Mytilus edulis: one gene and its partner. The protein of the gene in region 2 binds, or shares a complex with, the protein of the main gene of each other region. Links are inferred from orthologs where the notes say so. Each region holds a gene or a part of one and is shown on either strand. Other genes may lie near its edges.

Evidence for each region.
Region 1: the proteins of probable inactive tRNA-specific adenosine deaminase-like protein 3 (region 2) and tRNA-specific adenosine deaminase 2-like are in contact, whole or in part, in a crystal structure (PDB 9HMM), measured with the Mus musculus proteins. The link is inferred for Mytilus edulis from reciprocal best matches to the Homo sapiens genes ADAT3 and ADAT2. Residues at the interface, in NP_001094076.1 of Mus musculus: Val217, Ala218, Pro220, Leu221, His223, Ile229, Asp230, Ala233, Gln236, Gly237, Glu270, Ser272, Pro274, Val276, Val290, Met291, Met294, Ala295, His298, Ala299, Pro311, Asp312, Leu318, Phe319, Val321, Arg324, Asp326, Leu327, Asn328, Pro349; in NP_080024.3 of Mus musculus: Val62, Asn63, Lys66, Asn67, Ala68, Thr69, His71, Met74, Ile77, Leu81, His85, Pro91, Cys107, Ile108, Met109, Ala112, Ala113, Leu116, Met117, Arg130, Phe131, Val137, Leu138, Ile140, Asp144, Leu145, Pro146, Asn147, Thr148.

What each region holds. Positions count from the first base shown.
Region 1 is NC_092349.1:85,697,244-85,705,231, reverse strand, and holds the start of tRNA-specific adenosine deaminase 2-like, read right to left. Parts: upstream 3,241-7,988; 5' UTR 3,199-3,240; intron 2,874-3,198; 5' UTR 2,787-2,873; intron 2,721-2,786; exon of another isoform or gene 2,588-2,720; intron 1-2,587. Other genes in the region: uncharacterized protein, read left to right, coding at 3,398-3,412, 4,919-5,111, 5,549-5,739, 7,481-7,601. UniProt on the Homo sapiens protein: Probably participates in deamination of adenosine-34 to inosine in many tRNAs.
Region 2 is NC_092346.1:29,880,192-29,888,150, forward strand, and holds the start of probable inactive tRNA-specific adenosine deaminase-like protein 3, read right to left. Parts: upstream 3,018-7,959; 5' UTR 2,964-3,017; exon of another isoform or gene 2,904-2,963; intron 1,101-2,903; coding exon of another isoform or gene 1,036-1,100; exon of another isoform or gene 1,021-1,035; intron 406-1,020; 5' UTR 314-405; coding exon 178-313; intron 1-177. Other genes in the region: kelch-like protein 21, read left to right, coding at 1,036-1,100, 5,670-5,817, 6,696-6,780.

The DNA of each region.
Region 1 (7,988 bases), on a different chromosome or scaffold from region 2:
TAAATTATAACTGGAGAATTCCAGGAGAGGTATCAAAATTCGAAGGAACTTGGGGACTGGGCACATTTTTTTTTGCCTTCCCTATTTTTTCCAAATACTGATTTTTATTCTCTCTGTTTTTCTGTATACTATGAACAAACATATATATATATATATATATATATACCCTAAGTACTATATAAATCGGTCACTAATATATTAAAAGTCACCCCAGTTAAATATATGGACGCCTATATTTTCGTTTTCCTCCAAAAATAACCAAAACTGAAATACTTTAAACAAGGATGATAAATGCTAGAACACACCCGCGAAATCGCGGGCATCCAGAACATGGTTGAAAGTATGTAAAGTTTTGTAGGATGAATGTTAGTAAAAAAAATAATGACTGGAGAATTTCAGGAAAGATAATAAAAGTTATAAGTACTTTGGGACAGGACAATTGTTTTTTTAGCCCGACTCCTAATTTTTTTCCTCCAAAACTCTTATAATTTTTTTTAATTGATTTAAATAATGTTAGCGTTTATGTGTATATTATGAACATACATTACTATAAATAAAGTGTATTTGCTTTTTACTATATCAACTCTCAATTTACTAATCGATCCACAGCAGTCATTGACATAATATATAGACCCTCTCTATTTAATAAACCCAGTTACTGTCGTGGATAGTAAACTTGAAAATGATAGCAGATAGCAAATCAACGTTATTCATAATCCTTGGTATGTACAAAGTACAGAAAAAACAAAAACCAGATGTCTAGTCTGACTTTAAATTTGCTTTCGCGTCGATCCGGCCCCACGTCGATCCGGCCCAAGTCGATCCGTCCCACGTCGATCCGGCCCCACGTCGATCCGGCCCAAATGTAAAGTCGATCCGGCCCCAATAAAAAAATATATTTATAAGGAATAAAAATAAAGATATATATTAAAGTAATTCATAAATGTTTATGATTTTTATTACAATGTTAAAGGTGTACGGTAAAAAAAAAAAATTCTTCAGATGAGTATAAAACAACTAGGTTGATTATGTTTTTATTACAAGTTTTCAAGATTATTGGGTATAATTATATTAAAACAATTCCTTTAGGTAAGTGACAGTGTAAAACTGTTAGTGTAAATGATTTATTAAAAGGTTATGTGTATTTATGTGAGTGTCAGAGATAGTTAGTATGTATGATGTTATTGTTATATTTTAGTAGTGCTGATATTTTATTTTAGAGTGTGAAAACGTGCATTCAGTGTCATTGTTTTGTTATTTTCTTGCAATAAAGAATAATGGATACTCATATAACTTGTGTTTTTTCTACACACAACTATTCAAAATACTGTCAAATTTATGAAAAATATATCGATATAGGAAGATGTGGTGTGATTGCCAATGAGAAAACTCTCCATCCAAATAACAGTTTATAAAAGTAAACCATTATAGGTTATTATTATATACACCAAACAAAATATCAATCTTTAAAGACCTCGTTGATATTATAAAAAAAAACAACAAGTAAATAGAAGCCTGTGATGTTACCTGAAAAAAATACAATTTATAATTATTATATACACCAACCTTAACCAGAACATCAATTAATCAGGATTTGATTTAATTAAGTGATTACAAGTGGCATCACCTTAGTTCACAATCATCAGACAATTGTTGAATAAACAAACCAATTATAGACTAATGATTTGATTAATCAAGTCATTATGATGAGTTAAATTTAATAGGTTCCAGTGGACTAAATATTTATTTAGATATTCTGTGTATGAAAAAAAAAGAAAATGAAATCGCCATGAGTTAAAGTTATCATGGAAAATAACTTCATATTTTAAAATATGTTGAAGCTGCTATACAACCAACGACACAATAACAATCATTTTCGTATCGATTTAAAATAGTTCTTTAACTGGTACTCCAATACTTCACTTAATACCTGTTGTCATCCATCATTGGACACTTTTTGCAAATTCCATTTATACTGTGTCACAAATTCCTCCAAGATCAATATAGTTATTTCTTATTTTATTATGGGGCCGGATCGACTTGGGGCCGGATCGACGTGGGCCGGATCGACTTGGGCCGGATCGACTTTGGGCCGGATTGACTTGGGGCCGGATCGGTTTGGGGCCGGAACGACCGGATACCTTAAATTTCGTCCAATGACGGAAAAATTTCCGGACGCAGTTTTTTTCGTTTTTCTCCCAAAATAACCCAAACTGAATAATCATAAGAATGGATGACAAATGCGACAATACATGGTACCTTTAGGACACAGAGGCATGATGATTAATTTATTGTGGAAGGAAGAGAAGCGACACACAAAATGAGCTATTCTCGTTTAATAGTATAGATATCTTATCTTATCAATGCTTATGTATACACATTATCGCTATTTGTCTGCTATTATTGCAGGACATCACAAAGGTTCCAGTAAAATTTTGCATCATAATACAAAATATATGATGCCTCAACCGGCACAAATTCTGGGTTCAACCTGAGCAGATTTCAAAATACATGTAGCGATAGGGTGTATTCAAGATGTGCAACCAAATTACATGATTTCAAACATAACTATTAACTATATATATACCTGAGTGAAGAGATTAAGTGAGTCCTCTTTGCAGGTACGTACACAAGAGGATCTAAGATTTACCATCAGGATTGTGTATATAATGCCTTTTAAATCATTAGGGTCATCTGAGATATCCTGGTAAAACCAGTTCGGCAGTAGAAATTTGAAGGAGCCTTGCGTCAGATAACATTGTGAAATTGACAAAGATTATAAATACCTAAAAGAAAAGCTTGTTTCTTGTGTCTTACTCTATTGACTAGTATTGAAACGATGTTGAAGAAGCGTCCAAAATCCGATAGAAGACAGTTAATTCACAGTTAATTGCAAGACAAAGAAAATTTGTATAGGAGGTTCAACAGTTCTTTCTAACAAAAAAAATAAATAAATGTCCTCTGCACATCTTATGGCCAGTTCAAAAGTCCCAAGTCATACAAAAATAAAGCTTTCATTTCCTTTCTTTCTTCCTTAACATTTGACCTGAACCTGAAAAGGCTTCAAAGTCTTTTTCCTCCTCCTCATTATTATCTGTGATATTCCTTCGTGTTCTGATAAATGTTATGGTACCTTTCTTATGTTTATAATTTGGGATTCCTCTTTTGTGTGGAACTGAGTTTTTAACTTCTGAAGACGTCAGCGTGAGATCCCGGCAAAGGAAACTATATCGTCCTAGATTATGACTTTGAAATTTCAGGAAGTGACGTTCATATCCTTCTGCGCTTGTCGACATATATTGGTGACGTGAACACAAGGAAAGAAAGAAGGAGACACTAATCTCATAGTTTTCCAAACTGAATTTGCTTCTAGCTGACAGAAGCATTGTCTTTGACAATGAATACTTATGTTGTAAGCGAGTAACATGTTAAAGTCCTTTATAGTTCATGCAAAATTGTAAATCGATGGTGAATTTTGCTAACAATTTATGATTTTATTCAGAAATCCAGCCATGCATTTTTGCATGATCTCTTATTTGGGGGAAACACTTTCTGGATATGCAATTCATAGAATGTAGCTTAATGGTGGACATAACAACAATTAACCAGAAAAAAATAACTTCAATTAAATGTTCTCAATTTGTTTCAATTTTACACATCTTTCCATCAAGGACAAAGGGAAATAACTACTTGGAAGGACACTCTTTAAGCGTGTGTTCTAGAAATAAATCAACCGCATCGTTAATTAACTGGTGATTTACAATGAATGACAATGTTAATCAACAACGTTTGGGTTAGATTTGCTAAATTATTTTAAATGTACAGTGGAGTCCCCAGTGTCCGCGCAACCGTTGATACCGCACATTAGCTGGTTTTGTCATATCACAACAGTAGCACAAATAAAATCGTTCTTGTTATTGTTTTAGCCTTCCGAGGGGTAAATAAGAATAAAATTGATAAGTTCAAGAGTTGAATAATAACTGAAATCCTGTGATTTTCAATATTTGGCCAATTTCCATTAAAAAAAATACATCATCAGATAAAACTTCTATTTGAGTCATATTTAAATCAGATTGAAATACTTTTTGCTCTGCATCCTTGGCAGTGTACTTGGTTCAAATTCAGCTTTGTTTCGTAGAAAAAAATCTTTCCATTATTCAAAATAAGCCATTTTTGGAAGACATGCGCGAAATCACCGGAAATTGGAGAAACTCTTAGAACAGGAGTTTCCCTAATTTTAGAAACACATTACACAAAATCTTGAGAGTGAAAGCATACAAACAGAAGATTTTATGAAATAAAAGTATGTTATGAATGTGTTAACACAATATTATCCAATTATTGGTTATATTAGTTGAATGAAGTGAAGTCATAAGTCTTAGGTGTGTGGATATGCGGGACTGCATCATACATTTCTTATGAAATAAAAATAATTTTAAACAAATTTGTGGCAGTACAAATATTTCCCGCAGTGGCAAGTATTGACGCTATCTCATTTGCATCTTTCTTACATCCAATTGACAAAACTATGTCTTTTTATTCCGCCTGGCTCTGCTGTCAAGCAGTGAGCCAGGATACTAGGCTAGACACTATGTAGTCAGAAACAAAATATCACCCAGTCCAAATAATTATGACTTCTTGAAAAGGCTACATGTGTTTTAAATTTGTTATCTCTAAACAAAAGTTCTGCAACAATTTTTACAATATCATATCGCTGTAGCCATTTTCATCATCTTGTTGCCTTTGAGAGAGACACAATTTTACCATGTAATTGACAGCTAGAAATTTTTGCGTAAAATTTTTCTAGATATATACATTTTTGTAAATATTCAAAAGTAAGGATGAAATAATAGTGATATCAATAAAGTTGTAAAAATCTATAATATATAAATGAGTTGTGATTTGTTTTATATTTCAGACTCATCCAAGTGTTCGGATTAAAGGTACAGAAAATAATTTGACTCCTTTGAGATGTGCAGATCAAAGGTGTGGTGATGGTACATTACACATGCATTGCCCATTCTGTGTGAAGACAGAACTGTATCATGACCCAGTCATACTCAAGGCTCATTATAGAGTTAAACATGTAGATAAAGGAATTGATTTTGCTGGTAAATATAATTGTCATGATTGTACTGTATAGATACTATAAAAAAAAAACACCATAAAATATTTTCCCTGGATTCACATACCTTAACCATTGGAAACCTGTACAAGGGTTAATAAACTTTTTGTGCAAAATAAATTATGTGAATAAAATATTTGCATTACTGAATTTTCAAATTTACAAACACTTTTAACATGTAAATAACATAATTACATTTCATACGGCTTAAATATTTCACTCTGATCTGTAACTCAAAAGTTCAAGTTGAAAAAAAAAGCTCCACACAAAACTGAGTCTAAGAGGGGGAAAAAATAAGAATTCTAAAGACTGTATGTATGTAATAGAAACTGTACAATACATGCAGACATGTATATTTGTTTTAATATCAGTTAAACTTTGAACATCAAATCTGTATTGACAATTTCTATTTTATAATTCCAGGTTTGAAAATTCTACGATGCTGTGATCATTGTGACATAGTTGGTATAATAAAAGGAGAGAAAAAATTTAAAGGAGCACATTGGCATTGTTATAAATGTCGTAATGGATTCAACAGGAGAGATGAAGCTATTAAACATTACAAAACCCACTTCAGAAATCCACAAACCACTTTTCAGATTCAAATTGCTCAGGTAAATATGTGAAATATAATTAGAGTAAAGTGCACAGGACTCAGATTTATAACTTATAAATTGCTCAGGTAAATATGTGAAATATAATTAGAGTAAAGTGCACAGGACTCAGATTGCTCAGGTAAATATGTGAAATATAATTAGAGTAAAGTGCACAGGACTCAGATTGCTCAGGTAAATATGTGAAATATAATTAGAGTAAAGTGCACAGGACTCAGATTTATAACTTATAAATTGCTCAGGTAAATATGTGAAATATAATTAGAGTAAAGTGCACAGGACTCAGATTGCTCAGGTAAATATGTGAAATATAATTAGAGTAAAGTGCACAGGACTCAGATTTATAACTTATAAATTGCTCAGGTAAATATGTGAAATATAATTAGATTAAAGTGCATAGGACTCAGATTTATAACTTATAAATTGCTCAGGTAAATATGTGAAATATAATTAGATTAAAGTGCATAGGACTCAGATTTATAACTTGCAAATATTTAAGAATATTTATGAAAATTAATAAAAGAAAGAAATGGTAATTTTTTTCGAAATTCAAGAATGTGATTTATGAAAAGATCAATGGGAAATGTGTATGTTAAAACAAAATTTAAATAAAGAAATGAGAGTTTGCACAAATTCTGGGGAAAATATTAAAATGAGAGTTTGCACAAATTCTGGGGAAAATATTAAAATGAGAGTTTGCACAAATTCTGGGGAAAATAAAACAGAAGGTTACAAAGTAAAATAAAAAAAGAAGACATTTCTTATTTTAATATGTAGACATATCTTTTATGCTTAAAGTATTAAGGGTTTTTCAAGAATTAATTGTATGGGGGTAAGGAAGGCACTTTTATTAAAATTTGATTGGTGGTGGTTATTTAAGAAAGATTGCTTGAACATTTAATTAAATATCCAATTTAAAATGTATGCATAGTGGAGTCAAATAAAAAGTGCCTTCCTTCCCCCATACATTTATTTTTGGAACAGCCCTTATGTTGATCATGATAATAACTAAAAAAAAAATAAGCAAAATTCTACATTGGCTAGAGGTATAGGGGGAGGGTTGAGATCTCACAAACATGTTTAAGCCCGCCACATTTTTGCGCCTGTCCCAAGTCAGGAGCCTCTGGCCTTTGTTAGTCTTGTATTATTTTAATTTTAGTTTCTTGTATACAATTTGGAAATTAGTATGGCGTTCATTATCACTGAACTAGTATATATTTGTTTAGGGGCAAGTTGAAGGACGCCTCCAGGTGCGGGAATTTCTCGCTACATTGAAGACCTGTTGGTGACCTTCTGCTGTTGTTTTTTTCTATGGTCGGGTTGTTGTCTCTGGCACATTCCCCATTTCCATTCTCAATTTTAAACAATACCAAGGGTACATTCAAAACTAAAAAAAAAACTACTAAAGAGAAAATGACTAAGTCATTGCAAAAAATGAAAGTCCACAAAACTCTACATACAACATGTAGAAAACTGAAGATTTAGCAACATGAACCAAACCAAAACTTAAGGTGATCTCAGGTGCTCCATCAGGGTTTTCAAAACCTATTCCACATGAGACACCTTAAAGAAACATACTTCTTTATAGTAGAAATACCTTTAGCTAAAGTATATCAAAATTTTTGTAAATGATGTATCTTGTTTAAATTTTTTTGTAGTATTGAATACTTTTTAGCAGTGTTAAGTGAATGATTACAAAAAGATATTTAACATTTTCTATTGTTTGATTTTATGTTTTCAGGAAGTGTATCCTCCTAAATATGAAGATGAGATGACCTCTACAGTTGTTGATAGTACCGGTCTTTCTATCCATCCAGCCCTTACAGAAGCTGTCATGTCTACATCGGTTGGACATGAACTAGGTCAGTAACAACCATGTAACACGTGTCAACAGCTATGGTTTTATCTATATGAATCCTCTCTGTTTTGTGGGTTTTTTTAGAAAAACACAGTGAGTCAGGAGTAAAAATTACTTATACAAGTAGTACCCCTGATTGACAGTATATACATTGAAAGAAGTTTTCTAACAGTATGGGGCAACACTAACACGTAATATTTTTCGCTATACCCCGGGTAGTTTATATACGGTTTATATATATATATAAGAAAATATTTTTAAATAGTTAACCATCTCCTTTCTTTAGAAAAATTACTAGTTGGTTGGAGAGAAAAATTGTTTAAATTAGTAAAATTAGTATGAATTGACACCTCTGGAGAAAAAAAAACGTATATAAGTAATATTTAAAAAG
Region 2 (7,959 bases):
ACTGTTTTTACATATATATATTTGTGTTGCACTTTTAAATCAGATGTTGTTTTTCTTTAAATAAAAAGTTATTTTTCCTAGAATATATATATACAAAAGAAAATCAAATCAAAATTATAAATTCTTTCCAAGGATGTTATCCATGAAAGAACAAAATGAGAATTTATTCATACTGACCTAACTCAAGTGAACGATAATAAACATCATCTAAAACTGCTTCAGGTTGTTTCATTAAAGTTGGTTCTCCAGTGAACTGTTTCTTTGAGCAGCTGGAACTTATATCATAATCATAGCAATTGCTCACTTCTTCCATGTTCTTGATCCAAAGTTCATCCCGTTAAGCCTTGACCTTTCATCTTAATCTACATCAGGATAGCGCACCTACTTTTGGTACTGAGTGCAGATCTAATAAAGAAAAGGTATAAGTATTACAGATTCTATTGAATAATAAAACATATTTCAATTTTGGTTAAATAATTCCCTTTGTCAAAAATATTAAGTTCTGTGCTTCTCCTTAAAACTTGAAAAGGTAATTACCTATTTGCATGACCTTGACTTTGAAGCCTATGACCTCAAAATCAGTATTACAGATTATATTTAATGATGAGAGATATTTGAAATTTGGTTAAATAATTCCCCTTGATTAATATGTTGAGTTCTGCACTTCTAAACAATTTTAAAAGATAATTACTTATTTTTATGACCTTGACTTTGAAGCTTATGACCTCAATTTTGTTTTGTTTTGTCAATTAGAGAACCAGACAATTTAAGACTACTGGTAACTCACACCTTACTTGTTTCTTTATTGTTATTAACAAAAGAATATACATGATAACAATTAGTGATTACATAATCAATGGATTAACATGATTACCAACTTAAGGATTATCACAGTTTTACCTGTTACTAGCTTTTATACATGTAATATCACTTAAAAAAACTAAATTCTGCACTTCCTACTTTAGATATGTTTCATTTATATTTCTTTGGTGTATAGAACAATATTTTTTTAGGGCAAGACCTTCAAATTCAGAAATGCTGGTTCATGGACTGGGGCACTGGGGTCCTGGAGACCCTTATAGTCATCTACAATATCATGAGTATGTATATATCTATAAATATATAAAAGTTGGTCTTCACCTATCAGACAGTTCTTCAAGAATTTATTATATATAATTCTAGCAATTCATTAATTTTAGATATTCATTGTGATGTGGAGAAAATTTTTAAAAGGTTCTTTTTATATTTATAGATTTTTTTTTGTATATACATACATTATGTAATTATGTCAGGAATGTTATTTTTAAATAATCAATGTGTCCTGAAACTATTACACTAATATATTAGTCTTACTAGGTGGAAAACTAAATATTCTTCTGAACTAGTTTTGAAACCAAGCATTTATTTCTCATCAGATTTTTGAAATGCATTTTGTGTGTTGGTCACTGATGATATCTGCGGACAGGTCCCAGGCCAAACCATAAATACTGGATATGGGGTTATTTCTCTTGACTCATAATTTTTTAGGGCCTAGTATATATATTCTATAATCTTTTAACCCTCTATTAAGACCCTTTGCCTTCATGGCCATTTAAAGTGCTCTTTTACTATCACTGGTTTTTTCACAAAAGATGAGATGCAATAATTGGAAAATAATCCGGTTATGGAGAACACACACAATTGATTATGATAATATTACATTGTACATGTACTTTTTTTGAATTTTTCAAAATTTAACAAATGTACATCTATACTGAATTAAATTCATGAATATTATGGATTTTTACCCCAACCCATGCATTAGGGTTGTAAATCCTAAAATGTACTTTCTCTGTTAGATGATAAAAATAATCTACTGATTTTGACGAAATAAATGGTAAAGATAATTATTTGAGACCACTGACCAGCTGATGAATCAGGATAAAGATATTTTAACTAATCCAGGTAAAATTTTAAACCAATTTGACATTAAAGGTAGCCGAAAATTACTGTTTGACGACTGACAGTTAAGAGCATTCCTTCCCTCTTACATGAACCTTTACTCTGCTGGCTAATGGTAAAAATTTAAAGTAAATTATATACAAAATATTTCGTGGGGCGCAGCTAGATTTGACAACAGAAGCCCAACCCTTAACTTTTTTTAATTTCAAGTTGCATATGACTTTAACCAAAAATATATTTCCATTTATTATTAAAAAATAGAAGGTAATTTAATCTTAAAAGTCATAATCATTATATTATATACTTATTCTGTATTCTGTATTCTGTAGGTGTCGCTGTTGACACTGGATTGTCTCCCTTGTAATTATTTAAATCTCTCGTGTATTTATATTTCACTCTGGTAAACAACTCACTTGTACTTTAAAATACATACTATTAGGTGGCAACTGTGCTTAACATATTTTTCCAAAAATTAAAAAATATATCTACATTTATTAATTAACATGAAAATTTAACGGAAAAGAAAGAAAAAAAAAAAAAATAAAGAAAAAAAAAATCAAAAAAAATCTAACATTACATTAATCAAACCGGCGCGACTCGCAAATAAAGTCACCCAACAATCGCATTAGTGTTTCATTAGAGACGGAGACATTGTCGTTTTTTTCTATTGACAATAAAAGTTCCAAATCAATATGTAACGATCCTGTGTTGAAGTATATCTCATGTATAAGTTTCTGTCTTGCCTCTTCATAATTTTCACAAAATAGTAAATAATGTTCCACAGTTTCTAATTGACCGCATTCACACTTTGGGTCTATATTTTGATTGATTTTGTTTTGATAATTTTTTAATATATACTTAGCATTAGCCAATATATGGCATAGGGTTTCTTTTTTAAAGAATGGAATATATCTGTCAACTCATGAAATGAAAAAGAATGTCCTTTGAAAGGTTTAACTAACTCTCTAACAGTGAGTATTCCTATACGATTTATAGCTTAGCCTTATGTAAGTTATGGAGACCTGATCAATATGAACTGCTTTAGTCTGTATATTGTAATTCTTAAACGGAAATGATTTCGGTTAGGGTTTGTCTTTTAGAAATTTGGGAGGAAAAAATATTAAACAACGTTCTATTGGCTGAAATTTTAGATTTAACCAATCAAATATTCTGTATTATGCCAATGTAATTGAGATGTGAGACGGGAGAGCTCGATGAGCTGAAGAATAATTTCGCAAATCACACTGTGATTAAACCACTGTAATTATCAAATTATTTATTTATTTGTACTGCCCTTAATTGCGTAAAGTATAGACTCGGAATGAAGCACTTCAATTGTTGATCAAGCCCTGTCAATGGCCTTGGACAGATCTCTTCTAAAGTTCTATTTCTGATCTCGAAATATTGAACAAACACAGACACTCTTCACTTAATGACTTATGTCACTAGTCATGCTAGTGAAGATGTTAACGAATACATACCTATATACCTTTACCAAGGATTTTTATGGTCTACAAATTATTGCCTTCACCTACTGACCTACATGTAGCCCACAAAATCATAATGTCTAGTCACAGGCACTAGACGTTCTGTCAATAGCAAGTCAAGCTAATTTGCAATTCAATTTTTTTTTTGCTTAGTTGCAGGAAGGTGTCAAAGCGAAAAAATAAAGTAGCAAGACAACATCAATGTGGGATAAAAACAGTCACAATAATAAAAAAAAAAAAAAACACGGCATGATATCGCTATTTGTCCGCCATTACTGGATATCACACAGGTTCCCGTATAATTTTGACGTCATAAAACAAAATATCTGAAGCCACAATGGAAAAGTGATTGTTGTTGACCTCAAAAGTTCAAGAGGCCGGGTCTGCCGGGATTAGCGATAAGGTGTATTATCTGGACTACTGTGACAAATGTAGGAAAATGTTTAGCAAAAATAAAAAATGAGCCTCTGTGGTTTTCCCTGAGGCTATTTTCATATTTTCAACGGCCCTGCTACATTTCCCATTGTGTGAAAAAAAATATTAGCTGTGCATATTAATTATTGAAGTTCATAATAACTTGACATAATGCTGGCGAAAGTGTAAAGCAAAATAATGTCCTATGAAATATTGTCCAACAAGACAATATATCATGACTATGTACTATGAAATTCTGTCCTCATCTATAAAATTATGTCTTGAGACGGACAAATTTTCATAGTGGAATTTGGTCTTGTTTGATTACAATAATTCACAGATGAATAGTATGAAATTTTGTCCTGCTAAAGGGAAGTAATCATTTGTTTATATTAAGACAATATTTCATAGACTGATTGTTATGAAATTTTGTCTTATGAAGGGGAGGTTATCATCATATATCATGATGGTTAAAAATATCATTAAAGTGTTTTCTTCAATTGACAATAACAAAAAAGAAAATAATAATAAATAGATACAGGTATAAACATGATAAATAGAAAACTAGTTTTGTAATCATGGATGGCAAGGAGTATAAAATACTTTTTGAGTTTCTCAGTCTAAAAGTTTCACTGGAAGGAATTTCAGAAAATCAGAAGAGAGTAATTAGAAGAAAGTCTAATTACTTTTGTATACAGAACAATGAAATTTATTTCAAAAGTGTTGATAAGAAATCAAATGAAGTTATGAAAAGACTTGTGATTCATAAAGACAAATTATAAAGAGTGATGTATCTATATAAATATATATATTAATAACCAAATTACAAAATATTTTGTTATTATTATTCAAAAATCTGCATGCTGCATGTTTGTGTAATATAACTTGTATTAATTTGAACAAGAATTTTTATTATGGACAGTATTCTATAGGGAAAATTAATATTATGCTGTTGACAAAATTTAATATAAAATATTGTTAGCAGACACGTTTTCATAATGATATATTGTCATCAGAGACATGTATGTGTATATATGTCTCTGTTGTCATTGACAGTATTTTATAGTGAAATATTGTCTTTAAGGCGGTGACAAAATTTCATGGACAAGCACAATATTTCATAATGAAATAGTGTCCTTGACAATATTTCATTATGAAATGGTGTCTTAAGACAATATTTCATGGAGGATAATATTTTATGTTACAAAAGCATGTGATGTGTTCTGAAACGTGACTAACTGGTAATTGTTAATACAATGAAATCGGCTGTTATTGTTTGAATGATAAAATTAGACAGAAGTCAAATCCATTCTGATGCACATCTCCTACATAACTTTCGAAAATCATTCCATTTGAATAATTTCAGTATGAAACTGCGCCAACTCAACACTGGAGATACATTGACATATGACATTGAGATTTAGGTTGATATTAAATATAAAAAAAAATCCCCTGATATTTCAAATATTTCAAAGCAAATATTGTGCTCCATCAGAAACAGTTGAAAAAACAATTAAAATCACAAATTTTGTCATGCTAATCAAAGATATCAATATTTTTTTCAGATTAGCCCATACGTTATGCTATTTTTGTGTTTTTATCAGACACTGTTTATTGATTATGTAAAAGAAAAGTATTACATCACTGATGCAAAGTTGAAATGAGTTATGGAAATTTATGCAATGGACTTTTGCATTGTAATTTTAGTGAAATTTCAGTTACTTGTTATTTGGAAGTGTAATTTGATAGTTTGTAGACCTACAGGAATTGGTTCTGAGTGCTGAATCTTATTATGTGATAGATTAAATTCATTTTTTCTGTTAACAGGTCTACAGCCAGCAAAATGGATTTTCAAGCATACCCCAGAAATATGGGGAATAAAAGTTCCCATGCATTGAAGTTGCAACAACATTTATATGATCAGATGTCATCTCAAACTGAATTCTGTGATGTCACCCTGATGGTTGGAGATATTGTAAGTACATGTAATATATTTAAAAGTTGAAACAAAGTCATCCAAGTAAGGGAGCTACCATTTGATTTTTACGGGGGGCTAAGATGAAATTTGAAAAAAATAGGCAGGACAGGAGTTTTGAGTTAAAAAAAAAGGCAGGATGAGACACTTGCAAAAAAAAAGTCAGGACGACAATTTAGGTAAAATAAAGTCGGGATAAACTAAAGAAAAAAAGGCAGGACCGAACAGAGTGAAAAATAAAAAGGCAGGACAGAGATTACAGCTTAAATAAAAATGTAGGACAAAATTTTTCATCCTAGCCCCCCCCATAAAAATCAAATGGTAGCTCCCTAATAATGTTATTACCCTGAAGTAAGTTCTGGTCCACGAATGTGGACGTGGGTTGAATCCAAAATCTGACACCATGTATCTTTATTCCTACGATATGAGGGCAATAAGAATTAAACACTAGTTTAGAGGGGGGATAGGACCTTTATTGGGACACCGGGATTGGGTGTTTTCATGATTTTCGGGATTGACCTTTTCGTGATGTCAGGATTTATTTTTTTATAATTCAGGACCTCAGGATTTCATGTTTTTAATCCCGGGATTTCGAGATCAAGACCCCTCCTACCCTCCCTCAGTTTAGGCACACAAGTATAATTGTAAACAGTGACATCATCTAAAGTGTACACATCATCAGTGCTTATCTATCGGGCGCATCATAAACATTTAAATATATATCGTTACAAAAGCCTTTCTTATTCATACCATAATTACTTGAACTAGCCATTTAAGTCTTTTATCAAATTAATTTTAAGAGAAAATGCTTGTGAATGTTTTCAAGTAGGTGATGTTTACATATTTGGATTTTTAATTATTAATGATTTTATTTTAAGGAAGTAAAGGCTCACTGGAATGTACTGGTATCATGTCCTTACTTTCAGTCCTTATATGATAGTGGGATGGATGAAAAAGTATCAGGTAAGGAAATTGTCTATATACAAACAGTTAAAACAGGAATAAGCAAAAACATAAATTCCTGTATGTTTAAAGAAATCGACTAACATCCTTTTAACTGCACAAAAAAAAATCAAATTTACAGTATTTTCAGCAGAGTTGTCACAAAATTGAACTCTGCTAACAAATTTGAAATTGTGTTGACAAACAAATTAAATAAATTCTCAACAAGTTAAACATGACTTCTTGTACATGCTTGAAATCTGTTGTTTGAAGATATAATTTAACACACTTTAGATGCACAAAACGAGCAAGGTTATGGTTTTAGCAGAGCTTTTACAAAGTTGAAATATGTTTATGATATGATGAATGTCTCTCTGGAATCTAAAAAAACCCTAATTTATAAGTTGTTATTTTCACAATTTCAATATGTAAACATGTAAATGGGAAGCTGACTTTTGTTGATTTATTATTCATGAATATATCTTGACATCTAAAACATGTTAATGTTTTATGACAATCTTCAACATTGTAAATTAGGACCTCAGGCCACAATTAAAAATATTTTGGTTCGCCCAAACCCTACCCAAAGGTTGAGACAGTGGGTAGGTACATGTAGGTAGGCATTTTCTTTTTTTTTTCTAAAAGAGAAATTGAAGTATCGATGTTTATTAGTCTTCATGCCTATCTGATTAAAAAAAACCTTCTTCAAATCAGGACAATAAAAGAATTTGAGTAGGCAGCTTTTTTCTGGGTAGGTAGGGTTTGGGCAAACAAACCTATTCTTTTTTATGGCCTCACAGAGTATTATAAAAGGCAATAGACAGAAGATAACATAGGGATTCTAAATTCATTTTTTGAATTGACTAAGGCCAAATAAAAATATATGTGTGGTTCCAGTTACCCTACCGTCCCTACTTTTTCGGCTTAAAAATAGCCTACCCTAAAGATTTTATTGTCATTTTTCATTAAGTACTGCTAAAGTCAGAATGTTGCTCCCATAGACTTAATGTAAAACAAAAACATAAAATATGAAAAAATCCCTACCTACCTACCCTAATTTTTTTTCAGATGTAACTGGAACCACACATACTTTTTTATTTGGACTAAGACAAAACCATGGAAAAAATAAAATAAATGAAATAAAAAACAACCTACAAAACACTACCTGGAAAATGAAAGCAACACAAAATCCACCAAAAA